2 linked regions of the Macaca fascicularis genome follow. The main gene of each other region encodes a partner of the protein of the gene in region 2 in a complex. Links are inferred from orthologs where the notes say so. Each region holds a gene or a part of one and is shown on either strand. Other genes may lie near its edges.

The links.
Region 1: the proteins of FN1 (region 2) and COL1A1 are in contact, whole or in part, in a crystal structure (PDB 3GXE), measured with the Homo sapiens proteins. The link is inferred for Macaca fascicularis from reciprocal best matches to the Homo sapiens genes FN1 and COL1A1. Residues at the interface, in NP_997647.2 of Homo sapiens: Asp516, Gln517, Lys533, His535, Glu537, His539, Leu541, Gly549, Arg550, Gly551, Arg552, Trp553, Lys554, Cys555, Pro557, Gln560, Phe569; in NP_000079.2 of Homo sapiens: Leu261, Pro262, Gly263, Met264, Lys265, Gly266, His267, Arg268.

The regions. Positions count from the first base shown.
Region 1 is NC_088390.1:56,524,205-56,527,974, forward strand, and holds part of COL1A1 (collagen alpha-1(I) chain), read left to right. Parts: coding exon 1-60; intron 61-362; coding exon 363-470; intron 471-928; coding exon 929-1,036; intron 1,037-1,256; coding exon 1,257-1,310; intron 1,311-1,472; coding exon 1,473-1,526; intron 1,527-1,743; coding exon 1,744-1,851; intron 1,852-1,938; coding exon 1,939-1,992; intron 1,993-2,117; coding exon 2,118-2,171; intron 2,172-2,311; coding exon 2,312-2,473; intron 2,474-2,574; coding exon 2,575-2,682; intron 2,683-2,839; coding exon 2,840-2,947; intron 2,948-3,052; coding exon 3,053-3,106; intron 3,107-3,211; coding exon 3,212-3,319; intron 3,320-3,698; coding exon 3,699-3,752; intron 3,753-3,770. UniProt on the Homo sapiens protein: Type I collagen is a member of group I collagen (fibrillar forming collagen).
Region 2 is NC_088386.1:111,261,234-111,265,003, reverse strand, and holds part of FN1 (fibronectin), read left to right. Parts: intron 1-1,037; coding exon 1,038-1,214; intron 1,215-2,002; coding exon 2,003-2,092; intron 2,093-2,327; coding exon 2,328-2,507; intron 2,508-3,770. UniProt on the Homo sapiens protein: Fibronectins bind cell surfaces and various compounds including collagen, fibrin, heparin, DNA, and actin. Fibronectins are involved in cell adhesion, cell motility, opsonization, wound healing, and maintenance of cell shape.

The DNA.
Region 1 (3,770 bases), on a different chromosome or scaffold from region 2:
CCCCCTGGTCCTGCTGGTCCCCGAGGGGCCAATGGTGCTCCCGGCAATGATGGTGCTAAGGTGAGGGCAGCGTGGAAGGGTCTCTGGCAAGCAGCCCGGGGACCAGGTCTCACCCCTCCTGCAGCAGGGGATGGCTGGCTATGACCAAAGCCATGGAGATAGGGTGCAAGGTGGGGGGAAAAAACCAGGGTAGGGGCCCACAAACAGCCTGGAGTCTGGGCTGTGAGTCTTTTCTTTTCATCTTTTCTCAAGGCCTGTCATTGGCCTTGGAACTAAGCCTGTGAGATACCAAGCGGGGCTTAGGGCTATGACCCACTCTTGGGACCCCATGCCTCACTTCAGTCTTCTTGGTTGTCGCATAGGGTGATGCTGGTGCCCCTGGAGCTCCCGGTAGCCAGGGCGCCCCTGGCCTTCAGGGAATGCCTGGTGAACGTGGTGCAGCTGGTCTTCCAGGGCCTAAGGGTGACAGAGTAAGTTCAACCTTCCCTCTCCCCTGAGCCCTACATGGCTCCCATCTCTGCCTACTGTGAATCCCTCATCATCTCTCCTTCTCCCTGGGATCTGTTCCTCTTCTCACTAATCCTCCCCTCTTCCCCTTTCTGCTCTGGCCTCTTTGCTGATGAATCCTCTCCTAGTGGTCCAGGCCTGTCTCTCCCCATGAGTTACCATGGTGATGAGAGGTGGGGGCATCTCCTTGATGGAGACTCCCTTATTCATCCCCCTATACAAGTCAGGGGCCTCTTAACCCCAGTTCTACCTGAGTCTCCAGGCAGGCACCCTTTTTCCTGAAAGGACCTTTGAGTCCTTGCCCCAGGTGGAGGCAGGGCAGAGCAGGAGAGGGCCTCTCAGGAAAGCCAGACACAAGCAGAACACTACAGGTCATCTCCTTGCCCCACACTGGAAATCTCAAGCTTATCCATGTCTTTAGGGTGATGCTGGTCCCAAAGGTGCTGATGGCTCTCCTGGCAAAGATGGCGTCCGTGGTCTGACTGGCCCCATTGGTCCTCCTGGTCCTGCTGGTGCCCCTGGTGACAAGGTGAGGTGGCTGCTTCCCCACCTTCTGCCCTAACACATAGCCTCCCCAGCAGGCCTGGGCACGGTTCCATGGGGTTGGGTTGGGAAAGCAGGTCCTGTCAAACTGAGCTGTCAACCCGGGAACCTGGAGGGACCAGAGGGAGGGGAGGCTCTCCTGGGGTCATCTACCAGGAATATTCAGGGGAGGCCCTGACCCTGAGCCTCTTGTTCCTTGCTCTCAGGGTGAAACTGGTCCCAGCGGCCCTGCTGGTCCCACTGGAGCTCGTGGTGCCCCCGTAAGTATAGAAGACCTGTTAAGACCCCACACTTGGCCCTTCCCTCCCTTCACATAGCACTCCTGGCCCTGTCTGTGCCTCCACCCCTTGCCTTTCCCCTCACTCCATCTCCGCCTTCCCTCATGTCAGCGCATCTCTCCAATCTGCCACCTTTTCTTCTAGGGAGACCGTGGTGAGCCTGGTCCCCCCGGCCCTGCTGGCTTCGCTGGCCCCCCTGTGAGTACCAAGACCCCCTCATTTTTCATCACCGACTGGGACCTGGGACCTCGAGGGACAGAATGAGGACAAAGGCGTCAGCCCTCCTCTGGGGAGAAGGGTGGAGACGGGATTGTTTCCCACCCAAGCATCTTCCTGCCTCCATTACTGCCCGTTGCCCCGCCGGTGGAAACTCCTGCCTGCCTCCCTGCACTCACGGCCCTGCTTCCTCCCCCAGGGTGCTGATGGCCAACCCGGTGCTAAAGGCGAACCTGGTGATGCTGGTGCTAAAGGCGATGCTGGTCCCCCTGGCCCTGCCGGACCCGCTGGACCCCCTGGCCCCATTGTGAGTGGCTTGCCCTCTCTGCCTGTGATGCTGGTGTCCTAGGACTCAGGACAGGTCCAGGCTTGATGCCTCTGTACTCTCCTACAGGGTAATGTTGGTGCTCCTGGACCCAAAGGTGCTCGTGGCAGCGCTGGTCCCCCTGTGAGTATCACCTGCCTCTCTGCTGAGCCTCTCCCCTCTCCCCAGGCAGCGGTGGCAGGTGAGGGCAGCTGGATAGGATGACTTGGCTGTTCTCCCTCTGACGGTTCCTTTGTTCTCCCTTCCAGGGTGCTACTGGTTTCCCTGGTGCTGCTGGCCGAGTCGGTCCTCCTGGCCCCTCTGTAAGTCTCTGCGGTGGAGTCCACTGCTCTAGGTTGGGGGTGGTGGGTGCGGGCTGCCAGAAGGATGGTGGGTCCGACTGAGGAACCAATGATGCACCAGAGCCCCCTGGAGTCTGACGGCCGCTCCTATCCCCATCCAGGGAAATGCTGGACCCCCTGGCCCTCCTGGTCCTGCTGGCAAAGAAGGTGGCAAAGGTCCCCGTGGTGAGACTGGCCCTGCTGGACGTCCTGGTGAAGTTGGTCCCCCTGGTCCCCCTGGCCCCGCTGGCGAGAAAGGATCCCCTGGTGCTGATGGGCCTGCTGTAAGTGCCAGCTCAGATCTCTGCAGCTCCAGAGGTGTCCAGAGCTGAGGAGGGGTCCCTGTGCTGCTGTCCCGCACCTCACCCCTGTTTGCCTCCCACAGGGTGCTCCTGGTACTCCCGGGCCTCAAGGTATTGCTGGACAGCGTGGCGTGGTCGGCCTGCCTGGTCAGAGAGGAGAAAGAGGCTTCCCTGGTCTTCCTGGCCCCTCTGTAAGTGCCCCCCTCACCTTGGGGGACCCTGAGAAAAACCATCACAGGACTTGGAGTGGGGTGGAGCCAAGGAGAACAGATTTGGTAGAGATGACCTCAGGGGACTCATGGGTCCTCTCAGACCCTGTCGCTGGCCTGACTCTTTCTTCTCCCTTAGGGTGAACCTGGCAAACAAGGTCCCTCTGGAGCAAGTGGTGAACGTGGTCCCCCTGGTCCCATGGGCCCCCCTGGATTGGCCGGACCCCCTGGTGAATCTGGACGTGAGGTGAGCAGTCCCCAGCCCCCATGCCAGTACCCTCAGCATGGCCACTGTGGCCTTGCCTAAGTCCTCTTCTCTGGCTGACTCTCACTTCTCTCTCTCTCTCTGCAGGGAGCTCCTGGTGCCGAAGGTTCCCCTGGACGAGATGGTTCTCCTGGCCCCAAGGTAAGATGGTGACACTCCATGACCACAGCCTTGTCTGCTGCTTCCCTGCCCCATCCTGGCCATTCAGCTGGAGCTGGCCCATATTCCTCTGCTCTCCCCCGCCAGGGTGACCGTGGTGAGACTGGCCCCGCTGGACCTCCTGGTGCTCCTGGTGCTCCTGGTGCCCCTGGCCCCGTTGGCCCTGCTGGCAAGAGTGGTGATCGTGGTGAGACTGTAAGTAGCTGGGCTCCAGTTCCCTGTGTCTGGTCAGGCCAGGGACTCTCCAGGCCTCCTTAGAGGCCTGGGGATGGGTGTCGGACTTCACCCAGGCAGGGGGAGGAAAGGAGATCCTGCAAGATGTCGGGGCCTTAATCCAAAAAACTGAGTTAAAGCTCAGCCTCAAGTCCCCTCTCCCAGACAGGACCCCCTCTCCCTTGAGCTGGCCCCAGCTCTCATGAAGATTGCAGTGGGGAGGTTTCCCTGGGAGTTGGGAGAGATGGCCACAGTGGGAAGGGGCTGAGGAGAGAGAGATGCAGCAGGGGGAGGCCTCATCCTGCAGCCCCAGCCTCAGCCTCCCCTGGCCAAGATCTCATGCTCTCCTTGCTCTCCTCAGGGTCCTGCCGGTCCCGCTGGTCCTGTCGGCCCTGTTGGCGCCCGTGGCCCCGCTGTAAGTTCCCTGCTGTGT
Region 2 (3,770 bases):
AGAGCACCAAGCCACAAGAGATGTGCCCCCATGATCCAAACACCTCTCACCAGGCCCCACCTCCAGCATTGGGGATTACAACTCAACAGAGATTTGGACAGGAGCAAATATCCAAATTATATCACAGCACAGTAACCATTGGACCAAAATCAGGCTTAGATTCTAGTCTTCTGTTGTATCAATCACTTGATATATGCCTTTTCAAAAGTCAGGTAAAGTGTCAAAGTTTCATAGTTTATAAAAGAAGGATGGCATTTTACCTGTTGAGAGAAAAGATAAAATACTTGCAGTAATATTAGACACACACAGACATACACATGCTCTCTCTCTCACACACACATACACACACACATATAATTGTTAGCTGGCCATGTTATAACTCCTACCACACATATTTTTACATTATAATGCATTAATAATTTTAATATTTATTGAAATATTTGTAGATATTAAAAAGCCAGCCCTAGGAACCACTGGTAGTATCTATAAAGCTTTTCAGTTCTTCAAAATAAAGTGTATGAGAGGTAGATTTTTCATATTTTCTTTTTTTTTTTTTTTTTTTTTGAGACGGAGTCTCGCTCTGCCGCCCAGGCTGGAGTGCAGTGGCCGGATCTCAGCTCACTGCAAGCTCCGCCTCCCGGGTTCACGCTATTCTCCTGCCTCAGCCTCCCGAGTAGTTGGGACTACAGGCGCCCGCCACCGTGCCCGGCTAGTTTTTTGTATTTTTTAGTAGAGACGGGGTTTCACCGTGTTAGCCAGGATGGTCTCGATCTCCTGACCTTGTGATCCACCCGTCTCGGCCTCCCAAAGTGCTGGGATTACAGGCTTGAGCCACCGCGCCCGGCCATTTTTTTCCATATTTTCTAATTGCAGTTGACCTTTCTCTCTGAATGCCAAAGGAGATAATCTACACATTACTAGTTATATATTTCTTGAAATGGATGAATGTGATATATACCAAGGAAACATTTTAAAATACCAAAACTTTACAAGGATGAGCCAAGCAGGCACTAATCTCTAGTTATGCTCCTGTACAGATGTCAGCCCACCAAGAAGGGCTCGTGTGACAGATGCTACTGAGACCACCATCACCATTAGCTGGAGAACCAAGACCGAGACGATCACTGGCTTCCAAGTTGATGCTGTTCCAGCCAATGGCCAGACTCCAATCCAGAGAACCATCAAGCCAGATGTCAGAAGCTACACCATCACAGGTCAGGGAACTCACTGTGCTAACCACATTTGTTAAAAAATATCCACAATGTAAACTGATTTATTAATTGCTCTAAGACTGACACTGATAAAATTTATTTTCAGTGTTATCATTACCCAGTTTTAGAACATTATTTTCATGCTATGATCAGAAATTGCTTTGTCTTTTGAATGCCTGATTTTGTGTAATATTTGTCATGGAAATGGCATAAGTTTCATTCAACAAGTTTGATCTTTCATCATTGTGCCCTTTCTTATTTAAAAAATTATAACACAAAGTTTAAAACTAAAAGAAATAAAAAACAGTGATGTATAGATCTTAGCATTAGTATAGATTAAAAAGCATAGTTAATATAAAAGTAAATGATACTACTTAATAAAGGTCAAAGTTGTAACCAAAGAATATTCAATATCTGAGGTCTTTTTCAGTTTTTTAAAATTCTGAATCCAAGGCTCAGCTATTGATCATCTGATTACTATAAAGAGAAAACCTCAATAAATGGCCGCCCCTCATTCTGCAATGAATGTTGCCTCTTCCAATATAGCATTTTTGCATTCCAGAATTTACTTTAGCCAGTGTCCTTATCTGCATCAGTGATTCACTTTCAAGATACATTTCTTGTTAACAGTTACATCCATACCATGCTCTACTTTACTGTTCAAATGTGGACCACTTTGATAGTCTATATAAATATGGGATGATAGAGAAACCCAGAAAAACTGCAGGCGAGCTTGAGAATTCTCCTAGTAAAGCAAGAACTGGTAAAAATCATCTCTTCTCAAATCCCAGGTTTACAACCAGGCACTGACTACAAGATCTACCTGTACACCCTGAACGACAATGCCCGGAGCTCCCCTGTGGTCATCGACGCCTCCACTGGTAACTATACCTTCTACTGAGGAAATGCCACTGACTTGTATGCAATCAGTCTCATGAACTCAAAAAACAAAAGTGAGGCGGATATTTTTGTATTATAGATTCCCGAGAATCCTGTTTCCGGTTTACAGTATTCTCAGATTCTTTTAAGTGTGTTTAGAAGGGCTAGGGAGAAAAGTGTGGGAATAATTTTCTTGGTTATTTGCCTTCTTAGAGACTTAATTTTCTTTTCTTTCAGCCATTGATGCACCATCCAACCTGCGTTTCCTGGCCACCACACCCAATTCCTTGCTGGTATCGTGGCAGCCGCCACGTGCCAGGATCACCGGCTACATCATCAAGTATGAGAAGCCTGGGTCTTCTCCCAGAGAAGTGGTCCCTCGGCCCCGCCCTGGTGTCACAGAGGCTACTATTACTGGTATTGCTGCTTTCATGCTGTCATTTTCCTTCTTACTACCTAGGGCACATGAAGTCCTTAGCAAACGCCCGCTGCGTCTTTGATACTGTGTCATGAGAATGCAAAACCCTGTTCCTGATAACCTCAAAAAGCATTCTCTGTGTAGGAGTGGTACAGCTCAATACATCCCAGAAGGCATGAGTGAAGGAAAATGCAATTTCAAGACTGTCCTAAATGGCATGACTAGACTCATGTTTTCCTTTTGTTGCAAGTTTGCCAGATACCTGTCAATTCAGTCCTGGAGAAAGATATTTTTAAAGCAAACTAGCTGATAGTGATTCTGTCATTACACTCAGATCTCTATAGATATGGCATTCTTGCAGGACTTGCCAGAGTACCACCTGCCATTGACCACTATCACAGGATAGGTCTTGAGGCACAGCAATCCCAACCACCCACATCAGAAAGAATGCCTGGAATGGCCAATAAAAGTTGATTACCTTGGTGGGAAAGACTATAAGTCTCTAGTATTATTTTTGCCCAAGAGATGAAATTTTTAAACTATGTGTATTAGTCTGTTTTCACACTGCTATAAAGGGGTTTAATTGCTCACATTTCCGCATGGCTGAGGAGGCCTCAGAAAATGTACAATCATGGTGGAAGGGAAAGCAGGTATGTCTTACATGGCAGCAGGAGAGAGAAGCACAAAGGAGGAAATTCCAGATACTTACAAAACTATCAGATCTTGTGAGAACTCACTATCATGAGAACAGCCTGGGGGAACCACCCCCATGATCCAATCACCTCCCCTCCTCAATACATGGGGATTACAATTCCAGATGAGATCTGGATGCGGATACAGAGCCAAACCATATCAGTCTGTATAGAGTATCACCTAGACTTTAAAATTCCCATAGAACATACAGACATTAGAAGGACACACTGCCTTTTTAAAACTCGGGAGAACAGGAAAATAGAAGCAGATATGAGAGGAATTGAACTAGACACTTCCCACAGAGGCTGTACAAAGATTGGCCAATCTCTCTTACCCTTCACTTGCCTTGAGTTTTGCTTTTCATTGATCTGCCACTGAGGACCACTTGGTTATTAGGTCTAAGTAGATTCATGTATATAATCTGCAGGACTGGTGGTATATGATGCTGATAGATTTTCTTAAATTCAAAAAGGCAAATAAGACCACATGGTAAAAGAATACCCTGGAAAAGGTACCCAAAAAGTGTCTATTCAGGTGTCAGATATGACAGTCAGACAAGTACTTTGCGA